Linked DNA regions of Neodiprion lecontei. The protein of the gene in region 1 interacts with the protein of each later gene in a pairwise test. Links are inferred from orthologs where the notes say so. Each region holds a gene or a part of one and is shown in the gene's direction. Other genes may lie near its edges.

Region 1 (7,755 bases):
ATTTAACAATTAAAATATCAACACCCGTAACCAGAGTGTCTTGCGTACTGATTGTTAATCTACTGACAATGCACACGAATTTGAAAGGGCGACCAATTTTCGCTGTACAAATGGGTCTGTCATCAATATGTATGGAAAAGAATTCACTTGACTCCTCCGCGCAAGCGAAAGTCACATTTCTCCCTAACTATAACTTCACTGCTATGCAGTAATTTACGATCCTGACGATTTAATTCGTACAGGCTTCCGTTAAAGCGAATGGTTTTTCTTGTATTCTTTGTAAATGAAACAAAGCGATGTAAGCTTTTTTTCAATATCGGCCATGACTTCAAGAGATCTAACTAGTTTGTTCCGGTATTTTTTAAAAATTGGTTCCTTAATTATACTAATTACTCAAAGCAATATAGCATTCGGGATATATGTCTTCTCCAAAGTTCCTCAGCGCTCGTTGATCCGCAAATCGTTACAATCAATCGAGACTGAATTAAGTTCGGTTCAAAATTGTCAAATAATTCGCACCTCTGCAAGAACCTGCCGAATATTCCGCCGAGGCGCGGTGCAGTTGGCACTTGCGTCGAAGCTGATGGGTTTCGCATTTCCCAGGGCAAACATGTAATAAAGTCTCATTGCCATTGTGGCTGTGAAATCGTCATCGATCATGACTATAGTAGGAACAAAGAAAGTCCACGCTAGTAGTAGATTGGAATGAAACTTGTAGCGTTGAAAACTGAACAGAATATCCGAAATCTCGCGGAAAATATCGAGGTGATCTTTAACAATCTATTACAGCTAGGATCTCACATCCTTGTGCATACCGTAATTCATACTATACGCACTGATTTTGTCAGCGGTCTTGCTCCTTGCGCACCTGTGGGGTTCATCCTTGATACGCGTACAGACCGCGTGGTAATGGATTCGAACTACCTTGAGTATAATTCAACGGTTGTACGTATACGTGAGGCATAAGCGGGTGTTCTGTTTGCAAAGGAGCGGCTGTGTGGTAATATTTACATTCCGCGCCGGTGTTGGAAGGTTACGAGCTACGGGATTCCAAACTGAATCCGCGTAGTTAATCTTCGTTCAATGTCAAATTTATACTCTGATCGACGAATTAGCGCGCTGCGTTGACAGTTGCGTGCACATTATCTCGTCCTTGTTTATCTTTTGATAGCATAAAAGCTGTGCGACATCAGTCGATTATAGCGAACAACGTCGATCAAGCGTCCAGGCATCATAGCCATAGAAGTTTGTTTTACCTCCAGTAAGCACACGAGCTAGTCGACTTCATTTTTTATTCATCCACGCATGTAACGATCTATTTATAGTTGTGAAGTAAAGTGAATGGTCGAAACTGCGAGACAATCATCATAAATCCGATAAAAAACAACTTGTGATCGTGTACTCGTTCGTTTCATTCTATCCGTGGCTCCCCAAATATTTCCGTGAATGTCCAAGTTGAAAATAAGCGTTTGAATTTACCCACAGCTTGGCGCGCAGCGTCCGGTAGCATGAATTTTGTGAATATAGTCCCTTGTTCCGACATCTGTCGACCGAATAGCGAACTCAATTCCATGGTAACCATCCGTCCGAATAGGAGTCGACTCTGATACCATGAAATTCATTGACTCAACGTTCGTAGAAATCAGTCATTCTCCATCCATGAAACCAGAAAAGAAGACATCGTTATTATTGGCTCTATTAAAAAAGGGGTGAAGATGAGTTTCTAGTCGGTAATCGACTTTGCACACGCAAGTGTGCCATCACATCATAATAACCATGGGGTAAGTTGCTATATGTTTCATTCTGTTTATTTGATCTGCTTTATAACATCAGCGATACAGATGCTCACATCAAACGGTACTTGAGAAAGAACCGCCATGCCCTCCATTTGGTGAACGTTACCTCAGATTGCGAAATCGCACGCTTTCCATGCTACAAATTCAAGTATTACCCAATTTTGAAATCCTGGTTGATAAACTCTTGGAGCTAATTAAGCATTTTAGTTTGGAGAACACTTCAGTTTAGTAATAAAACGAATCATCGATTCGTTTATTCCATCTCATCTGTTATTGCATTGAATATATCCAATTCGGTTTGACACCTGTGATGAAAATTATTTGGATTAGATTGAGTGTTCTCTTGATGTGAGTAAAAGTATCACCGTGGCCAAATGGCTCAAATTGGTTTTCGCCAAATCTGCATGATGAGGGCGTGGTGAACAGATGAATGAAATCATTTTGCGAGTGACTGCCAATCTAGATTTGAACGAACGTTTAGAGAAACTTACAAGCTGAATTGACACACATTTATTATTTACAGGGCCGACATGGCGTTCAACAAAAGCGACGTCGCTAAGACGACTCAAATTCCTTATAATAATCCAAGCATATCTTTTGATCGGATAAATACCAACAATGTCTACCGATCAATATCAGAAAATCTGGGTATTGAAGGCGGAGCCCTCATCACCGGCTTCACCCAATTCCCGTGCTTCGCCCATTGAAACTTCTACCTCTGACATTTTCAATGATTGGCTGAGCTTTGATAGCATTGAAAATCTCAGCAACAATGGGGAAGAGGTCATGTACGAGGAAGAGGCGGAAAAGGCGGACGAGAAAACATCACGAGCGCAAGTGGCTACTAAACTCTTAGAACAACTGGAAGAATTTATCAAAGAAGGTAATTGTTGGAAGATAACGAAAGATATCTTTGATTATTTTTACAACTGTATAAAAACTTTCACTGCCTTTTTTTTCATTTTGCCTACGTTGCATTTCATCAATCAAATGACGCTATGCTTATTCAAACCAGACACTTTAATTTGATAGTAAATAAATTTCAACCATGTTGAGTATAAGTAAACAATCCGACAACCAATATCCATCACTAGGTATCCAATCAATACACATAATATGTTTAAGTGCAGCACAAATATTTGAAATCTGCGCAGACAGTATTGCGCCATTCCCTTCATACAGCATGGCAAGAAGTAAGGAGAAATGATATTTCTAATTCATATTGTATTTCTTCTAATGATTAAATGGGAATCTCTTGCCGTAGCATTTATTACTATGGCTTTAATTCAATCAGCGTTTTTTGTCAAAACTGTCTCTAATTTTACTTTACAGCTCTGAATCATTTATATGACATGAGGTTAATTTTTTTTTTTTCGCACATCACCTATATGATTTCAATTTGACTGAAAAATAAAAATATGGGAAAAAACAAAATTGGGAAAAGTGGAGAGTGGAACAAACTGGTTAGCCTTTATATAGCCAGCTTGGTAGAAGTGAGGGCAAGAGGCTGAAGGAAGGGGAGATGGAGGCAATAAAGAAACGGGAGGGGGGAAAGTTCACAGATAAGTATGCGAGTCTCCTGTGTAGAGGCCACATGATACACGTCCCACTCCTCTTTGCCTCAGTGACTTTGTGTAAGCCTGGTGTGGTGTGTCTATTGGTTTCTCCAGCAGCATAACTTACACCCGATATTCAATATTGTGAACGCAGTTCTTCAACATACGGCACTTTTTGCACAGTTATTCATTTACCCCACACAACTTTTACCACCATATTTCGATCCAAAAACATAGTGTTTGTCCATGTTCAGAGACATAGTGCTTGTCCTGATAATGTGCTAGTAAAACAACGTGTAAGACTTTACCCAAAGTACGAGATACATGTTTAACAGGAATTTGTGCTAAAGTTATGTTTGACTCTGTTTGAATATCTACTAGAAGGCGAGTGTTGAACGTTGTTTGACCCTACATTGATCTGGATTTGGTGATACTGGCAGTTTTAAAAGGAAAATCAGACATAGGCTCTGCCTCTCGATGTTGGCGCATGCTAATGTTATACAATAGCATGCAGTTCACGTACCATTACACGTGGAACAGGGAAATCATCGTCAACTCTCAGAAATTAGTCAAAAGACGCTGAATTGTTGCTGCTGGCACACAGATTCTATTACGACCATCAAATAGTGTAATTGCCTCCTTCCATCCCTCACGACACAAGACAATCTCAATAAAGAATTTAAGTCTCAACCCTGTTGCCATATTACCTGCTTGTCATCTTTCTGAATCTCCAGGAACAACGAACCCTTTCAAATTATGGCTACTTTGTACTTCCGTGGTATGTTTCGTATTATATTTGTACTAAATGTTTAAGACAAACAGTGATTATATACACATTCATTGCATATAAACGTCTCATTTTTACCATTGTACAGTTATATTTACCATCAGATAGACTACTAAGGAATTCTTGGTAGTCTCGATTATTCTGTTGAACCTGCGATAGACTAAATGTTTTGCGTAAACGCGAGATTTTATTATGTTCCGATTAACAATTTTGTAAGCTGTAATATAAGTGATTTGAACGAGCTGTCCTTCACATTTACCTACTTGACTTCCTTGACCCATTCATTATTCTCACACATCACAACACATTGTCACATTATCTATCGTAATAGTAAAGATATAATTATTTTATTTGTGCATCAGCAAAATCTTTTTGAATTCCTATATATACCAATGTCCACTTTTTATACTAATAACTTTATAGATCAATTTCCATATGGTCTCGAAATACCTTTTTTATTATATCGTTCTAAGTACTGTTTTGGCTGTAAATACTTCCTTATCTGACCTCTCATGCCCCCGTTATTAAAGTTGAGATTATTTCCCTGGTTAATCAGTATGAAAAGCAATATGAAGCAAAGTTTCATTTGAAAGTAGGTCAGGGACTTGGCGGTTGTCGTAGACATTTTTTTTGTATTCCCTCTAACTCGGAATCTATGGTCACTGTTTACGAGCTCTTAGCAAAATCAACAAAATGTTGGTTGTTCGGAAATCTGATGAGTTTAGGTTAAATATTATCTGACTTTGTAACAAATAAATTAATCTCTATCTCTATGAATGGAGTTCGTCCAGTCAAATACCAATTCATAATAGAAAGTACATCCTACTTGAAATATATATCTAACGTGTTATTTATTGAACAACAAACCTTACCCAGTAGCTGTTGTCAAATTCTAATATCTTGTACTTCACATTTTCTGAATATGACTATCATTGCTATTCTCTTGGCACTGATGCACTTGCTCTACTCTTCATATATTTGCAATACAATGATCAAATAAACAAACTGCTATGAAAAACACTTTGTATATCTTCTTCCCGTTGTCCATACAACCTACAACCAAATTGATGGCAGCTACTTGTATTTGTTTTAATAATATTACTGTCTGCAGAAAATATCCTCACATATTTACAATGTGAATGGAATATTTTCTACGACTAAAATAGTAGCAACTCTATTCACCTATCAGTTTAATACATAGGTATATTTAATTCTAACTGGTTATGCTGTTTAGAATTCTTAAGTTTTTATAAAAATATGAACAAGTTTCTAGCTACTTGTTATTCAGTGTCCCTGGAATGCCATATATATGTATATTTCTTTACTGTAAACGTTAACACATTCAAAGATAAAGAGATAGATTGATGGACAGATGGGTGGCCCATAGTATTAGGTGTGCATCAAAACATGCACATACACAGCACACATTCAAACTTACGTGAAAGTAGTGAAATTATGTTAATAGGAATGAATTAAATACAAGAATAAGATACTGCTATAAATTGAACAAAATGGTCAACACCTTGAAAATTCATGTAGAATTGCCAAAAAAAAAAAACTTATCACATTTCTCTTATGGTTGAATCATCTCTGACAGAAAAAAGAGGCTTGTCACTAAACTGGAAATAATTGATATGGAGATGATCAATTTTTTTCTAAAGGATGTAGTATTTTATTTATTATTTGGACCTTATATTATATCAATGGGATTCTGTGGATAATTCTTTTTAGAGGTACAGTGATCTCTATCATGTTATTCTTTCATTTGCAACACTTCAGTTTTATTCGTCAGACGGTCATTTGAAATCCCTGTTGTTGTACTTGAGGCTTTGCGATATTTATTACCGTCCATTTTTCTTTTCATATACAATGACACCATCGCCCATTGCCGTGCGAATATCTACAGCATGAAAATATATATTTACATCCATTTGTATTTATGGGATATTATATTTTCTCACCACAGAACCCTCTGCTGACTGGCTTGAAGAGAAAACTGACCTACCAATATTCGAAGAACTATCACCTTTGGACTATGGGATCAGCCAGCCCATCCTACCATCAGGTACAATAAAGTTGCAAACGCAGTTGCAGCAACAAGAAACAACTCGGACCCTACTACAGGAATTTGAAAGTGTACTGGGTGATGTAGAGGCCTGTTACCAAGCTCCTGTCACGGCATTGACTCCACCACAGTCACCTCCTGCTAAATTCTACAACACAACAAATTCCAAAATACTGATATCTCTATCACCAACTTTTCAAACTCAGGGCGTTTCTGTGGTCAAACCCGAGGATCAATTTCAAGAAATTCCATCCTTACCCAGTGTCGCCCCATTGTCGCAATGGGGTGCTGAGAACATCTCTCTTGAACCACTGGGGGACGTCGCAAGCGAATTGGCAGCAGTCGACGAAATAGTTCGCTCATGTGCCAAGAATATATCATCATCAAGTCTATCCACTAGCTCTGATACGAGTTGTGTATCTTTTGAGGAGGATTCCAATGATGATCCATTGTGGACACCCGAAGCTACACCTTCTACCACGTCAACACCTGTTGTGTCGAAGAATCGTTATCGCAAACCTTACTCCCGTCCACCGTCAGATGATAGAAAGGTCCGCAAAAAAGAGCAGAATAAGAACGCAGCAACTCGTTACAGGCAGAAGAAAAAGCAAGAAATAAAAGAGATCGTGGGGGAGGTACAGGAGCTGACTAATTACAATGAGAAACTGCAGGGCCAAGTTGGTGATCTTCAGCGGGAGATTCGTTGCCTCAAGGGGCTGATGAGGGACCTATTCAAAGCCAAGGGACTTATGAAATAATTTCTTCGATCACTCTTGTATACGATCGTTGCTTTTACACACACACACACACACATGTATATATACATATATGTATATATATATATATATATATATATTATACTAGTAGTTGGTACTTAACAACCTTATTCCTTATTTTACGCGGTACCTAGTTTCGGCATCGCGTATTTGTAACTAACACTCATTCAAATACTCGTACGTTATCACAAATGTATAATTATGCATGTTATATACCTAAAGAGAGCGAACGGCCACTTGCTGCTTCCTCATCGGTCGACTTGACCATAAGTGGGTTGCCTTGGATTATATTAGATATCCTAAACTTTATGTACGTCATCAGATTGTTCAATATCCGAAAAAAAAAATCGTAAAAAGGTAGATTGTAGGAGGAGAGCAGCCCTATGAAGCTCACCTGAGTGGAACTCTGCTGTCTCCCGATACGATCGTCTTTTTTATTTATTTATTAATTTTTTTAACAAACAAATTTTAGCATGAATCTCAACTTGATGCATGTCCGTTGTTCAAGTAGAGATTGTCAAAATATTATTTTCATATATTATAGACATGTCTGTATACCGGAAGAATAAATAATTTTACCGATACTTGAAACTTGTCCATGACTTTCACTTCAACCGACGCGGTTACGTAACATTGTCAGAATTCGAGTTAGTGGACTTCGACGATCTTTTACGCATGAACATGATCACGTTTCGGGAATACCACTGAAAATCGCGACTATGGTGACCAGTCAGTTATGACTTGTTGAACAAATGAACGCAATGTTGACTAACAA
Region 2 (5,767 bases), on another chromosome or scaffold:
TCCGAAACCTTCCGACTATTCGCAGAACTACTGGAATTCTCAGAATCGGAAGAACTTGACTCGCTACCTGAACTCGATGAGCTGCTCGACGATGAGCCTGAGCTACTGCTTGAAGTTGATTCCGAGCTGGTTGTCTATTATGTATAACAAAAATATGTGATAACAGTAAATGAAGAATAAATGACATAAGATTAGTTGACCGTATTTTAGGCACATGCATTTATTAGACTATTTTTGTACTCTGTAGCGTCTACGACTGAGACAACAGGAGACCAATGCAGCCTGCGATCTAGTGTACTGATGTGAAACGTGCTCATGAAATATATCGTTCACATAATATTATGCACTGTAAATTTTACATCAAAGCGACAGACTGCACGCAACATTGCACCAGTTAAAAAATTGAAGGAAAATATGTATTATATATGTACTGTATTCGTAGGTTAGGTTAGGTTAAATGTATTTCGTATACAAGATATGTTTAATGTTGTATCAACGGAAAAGCGAAGAGAGTGGACCAAATTTCGGTTACGCAAAAGTTTCGTTGGTTGTGGAAATCTTACGCTCGAATCAAACTGTTTATATGGGATTTTATGTTTCAGGTTACGTACCTTTCGTTTGGGAGTCATTTTGGCAAGTTCCATCAGACTTTGTCATTTCTAAAGGTCATGTTCACATTTTGAAACGAAATATTGGCACAAGTGCACTTCTAACGAAAATGAAATCATGTTCTCAGCTTCACCACAAGCTTTTCATCAACTTTTCACCCACTTTTCATTACAATTCTAATTTTCCAATGACAAATCCCTTCTCCCCTCCTCCTCGCCCTCTTGCCATGTGTATTTACCGTTGATCGAGCACACAACAGACAACTCACAGGGTGCGCACATAGATTTATAAGTCTATGGGTGCGCACCACTGAGCTATGTGAAGATTGCTCCGCGAGACTGGCGAAGTCGACCATGCTTGATCACAAATTAGCGCGTCAACTTAAACATAGGTCTCTTATGAATTTCAATATAATCTAAGATAAATACAGGTTAGCAATCTTTTGTACACTCAAAATTGGATCAGAATAGTTCAGATTTATCTTTATTGTTAGTATAATAGGTATATTTAGAACATGCGTCGTTCATGCGTTCCAGCGTTGACTGAAGGATCTTTAGTTAAATGATAAATCTTCAGAAATGAAGATAATTAGGGTATATCCTACTAAAAAATGCCATCCTTGGGCAATTTTTTACTTACAATTAGATCTGGGAGCGAAGTGGGTGATTATCGGTAATATTAACAATGTAGGAGTTCCGCCGGTAGCGTTGTGTTTTCTATCTTCGTCCAAAGAGTGGAATGGAAAAGGATAAGACATTGATATCGGTACGCCAGTTGACCATGTCGGTATTGCGGCATGTGTACTCTTGACTATTCTTTGAATTGTCCATTACCTTTCAACTTTGCCGTCACGTGATCTTTGGTAGAATATAGTTACTCATTGTCAATGGTAAGGATATCGTTCCGAATTCGGTTGGGTATGATACATAGTCTATCTTTATCTACCACGTAAAATAGAAGAGGACACGATATGTCTCTGTTTCTCAGTTAACAATGTAAACTGCATACTGACCGGCCGTTCTCAATCAATTATTTTTATAGTCTTACACATAAGTGGAAAAATAGGCATGACAAGATTCTTCTTGTTTAATAACGGTTAAGATATTTGATAGGGCATATAAGTCAAAGTACTCTAGATCAATCACAGCTCAATTTTACTTTTAGAATTGTGCGAACTTTTTGAAATTTGAATGTGGCCGCCAATATGAGACTTGAATCAAACGCGGTGACGGCCAGACAGACGACAGTCGTTCACTTTTAGCATTGCGTCATCTCTGACCTATCCAATTGGATCGCAACAGTCGAGTTTATGGTGGCATTCAAGAACGAAATTTGTGTGTCAACAGCGAGAAGCAGCCTCAAATCATTGATAAGAAAACAAAGCGAATACCCTGCAACTGACGGTGGTGCGTATACTTCATTGATGGCGAATATTTGTGAAGTTTTCGCTTCTGATAGTGGGTTGATTGAAACGGTATGGCGTTATGGTCGTGCACTTAACTGATCAGTATTACGCATTTGAAAAACATTGACTCTAAAGTAAGTGTAACAATACCAAACTCCAGTTAATGAGTAGAGAAATTGTATTTCATTCCTGAAAATATAAATTCTGTTGTTAAAATTCTTCAAATTGCTTAAAGTTATTTGTAAAATTTCGATTTCCTCGAATGAAATGGCGGCAAATTTTGGCAACCCACGAGCGCGAGCAAGCCGCGTGTATCTTGCATCATCGCTTGATCAAGAACGCACACATCGCCATAAGTTTACGTAGAAGCGTGAAACACATGGGCAGAATTAGCGAGAACGCGTTTGGTATTCGGTACTTTTTGCATATTATTATGGTCATAGGTAATGCCGTAATGCCAAAATTATCAGATAACTTCTGTTGATTAGCAGTGATAAATCAATACCCAAACGTTGACTTGGGATGTTGATCTATGTACCACTAGAAATCAAAACCCGTTGTGAACGTTTTTCAAATTCTTTTACTTCATACCGATAATTGTCCTTGCAGAATTTTCTGAAACTTTTGAGAAATTACCTTACTAACATAATTTTGTACAAACTTTTGCCCACAAATTTCAGTAATGAATTAATCAACTATCAGTTGAATTGATATCATCGCATAAAAAATTGGTACGCTCTAGTTTATGACTTCATCCCGTTTAATTGGATTTAAGTTTTTCCCTCCAAATTAACTAAACCATACCAGCTAGAAATTGGTAATAACATATTTGATCAAAAAAATTTAGCGTCAGTTGAATGTATTCAAATCCTGTTTCCAAATTAAGGTATGAAAAATGTTCAAAGCATGGGGTAGTAGTCGCCTTGTGTCGTACGCATAACTGAGAGTATTTGCCAATTGGATATTTCATAGAGAACAATATACCTTGCCAATACGATCAGGGTATTCCACTAATTATCGTTGATACGTGATCAAATTTTGAAACATGGAATTTGCTTTTATTCGACCACTTCAAATCCTAGTTTCTGAGGTGCTCAATATTTATATTTTTTCAAATATATACCAGTAAAGACTGTATATGTTGTAAGATTTGCAAACCCTGAACAAATAGTATTTCTTCATATGAATCAAACGTTTTTAATAATAAAATCCGTTTTTCTTTTTCCAGATGGCACCCAAAAATAAGGAAAACTCCGGGAACCCGTCGAAAAAGTCGAAACGAGCAATTTCTGAAGAAGATGACGACGACGACTACAGGCGAAGACGAGATCGTAACAATCAGGTAGATGCAGATTCAGTTATGTCAGAATATTTATTGTTTGCGGGACAATGTACTTGCGCCACTTTTCTCAATAAGATAACACTACTGTAATATACAATCGTGGAGTAGAAAACGAAAATGTAAAATAGAACTACATCAGTGACTACATCTGGGACCCCTTCCTTCCGATTGAAATTTTCCCACTGATTCGTAAAATATTTTCATTTCTATAACATTGTGCTTACGTGCAGTGTTTATCAATGGTCATTATTGGACATTCTTAATGTAACAAATTTTCAAGTTGTATTTGCATCGATTTGACTTATCATATTTCCTTTGTTATAAAATCTGTAGGCAGTAAAGCGTTCAAGGGTAAAGAGTAAATTACGAACGCAGCAAACTTTGGAGCGAGTTAACCAGCTGAAAACAGAAAACGAATTGTTGGAGGAGAAGATCAAGATGCTAACCAAGGAGCTTGGATTTTTGAAAGACCTGTTTTTGGCCCACGCAGGTATGGAGTGCATATCGTGATAAGTTTTGTCTTGTACACTAATTATAACAACAAATCATGCGGTATAGTATTGGTAATTTTTTTCTCAGGCTCCAGTCAACACCCAATCAATATTCAGGACCTAGATTTGAACGCATTGCTGTCAGAAGATACGAAGTCTTCCGACGATGTAAAACCAACAACAAAGCTGTAGGATTGAGGACCAATTCACGTGACTATATCAAACTCGGGGTATTGGCACGGCCGTGCTTTAATTCTGTCTGAAATTACAACCAAACGGACAACGGTTGGTCCTTTTGATTTGGTGAGAAGTTAAGAGCCTTTTCCTCTTCCTCGCCCTCTTTTGCCAATCCTGCCGCTCTATGAAAATATTTTTGTTTATTTATGTCTATCTTTAGTCAACGCTAATGCAAAAAACCAGCATTTTTTGAACTTATCATGTAAATCGACATGGGAAAGGGAGCGTCTCTCTTCTCACTGTTGGTGTTAGAGATCTCCTTGAGAATCACTCCTCATTGCACTAACAGTTCGAGCGTGATTCCAAACCTTGCATTACAACGAAGAGATTAGGTTGGGCACATTCTAAACGAACTGTGTGCCCCTCAAAAACACATTACACCTAAATCTGCCGTCGATGCTGCAGGAAAGTATTTTTATACGGAGTGCAACATGAATTGCAACTCTGCCTATGTTCCCAATTCGGAAGGAATAAAAACCACATGTATACTAGCGTATATGTATACATTATTTTATACGAATTTGTCGTCTCCATCAAGGTAAAGTTTTCGTTTTAGAAATTATCTACCTATCGCGAATTCGGTAACTTTTTTTTTACGTTCATATGTTCTATCTGCAGACGGTAATAATACCGTAAAATTTTTATGGTCTTATATACATATGTGTATGTGTTGACGATAATATGGTATGATAAATCGTAGTATTAGGTGTGGCCCTTTAAATCTATTTACTTACGACGTTCATTAGTAAGTGCTAGTAAGTACCACATTCATCGCAGTCGATGGGCCGTGAATATTTGTTGCGCGGATCAATCTTTCTTCCTCCCTTCAATCATTGGTTAAGATCAATGAATTAGAGTTGTTTTACAACTAATTTTATCTATGTTTGATAAGTATCAGATCACGATTTTTTTTTTATCTAAAAATCGAGTGTACTGGTTGTCAGCGCGAGTATAGTGTATACATATACATATCTGTATTAATAGACTACATTTAATTTTATACAGTGAGTTGTAGGTAATTATACTTAGTGTACACATATGTACATGCATAGCATATATTTCTGTAAATAATAATTATACTTATAATATAACGAGAAAAATTTAATTCTGTATTGTTATTTCAACTTACGCAGCTAAAAACATGCAATATTCGCAGATTATGTCGCCCTCACATTCAAACTTATCAACTGAAAAAATCTATCTTTGGGAATCTAAATTGTTCAAAAAGAATGCTGTTATCAGCTTAATGTACGGCATATGATAAGGTAGAATTAACAGCGATCCAAGAGAATAAGATCTAGTTCGACATGAGCTTCTGATTTTTAAAAGGAATTATCTATCAGCCAATTTAACTGATCATTGAATCGCCGAAATATTCTTCACTCAATGAATCGAGATAGAGGTTTCTTTTGGGCAGAAGAAAAAAAATCGGAGCGCCAAAGTTCAAGCGTCGCGGAGCGATTTCCTTTTCCAATGGTCTCACTGTCAGTGTTTCAAGTGGTAAAATTGTAAATCTTAATCTGGTGATTAACAATTTGCAAAATTCGAACTCGAGGAGTTTTACGGGGCTTGACCATTAAACCAAACTCTGGCTGGCGACGGAAATCGGCGCTGGCCTAACATCAGAGCTGCGGAGTCTCACGATTGGCGTAAAGGCGGTAAGGTGACTTCTTGTCCTAATTC

What was found.
Region 2: the proteins of activating transcription factor of chaperone (region 1) and CCAAT/enhancer-binding protein gamma interact in a two-hybrid assay, tested with the Drosophila melanogaster proteins (2 studies listed by BioGRID, with this or other methods). The link is inferred for Neodiprion lecontei from reciprocal best matches to the Drosophila melanogaster genes crc and Irbp18.

The regions. Positions count from the first base shown.
Region 1 is NC_060261.1:30,601,074-30,608,828, reverse strand, and holds activating transcription factor of chaperone, read left to right. Parts: upstream 1-1,624; 5' UTR 1,625-1,781; intron 1,782-2,319; 5' UTR 2,320-2,414; coding exon 2,415-2,679; intron 2,680-6,105; coding exon 6,106-6,962; 3' UTR 6,963-7,564; downstream 7,565-7,755.
Region 2 is NC_060262.1:41,866,164-41,871,930, forward strand, and holds CCAAT/enhancer-binding protein gamma, read left to right. Parts: upstream 1-1,857; 5' UTR 1,858-2,015; exon of another isoform or gene 2,016-2,148; intron 2,149-3,242; coding exon 3,243-3,356; intron 3,357-3,689; coding exon 3,690-3,846; intron 3,847-3,935; coding exon 3,936-4,039; 3' UTR 4,040-5,189; downstream 5,190-5,767. Other genes in the region: histone acetyltransferase KAT7, read right to left, coding at 1-134, 612-644.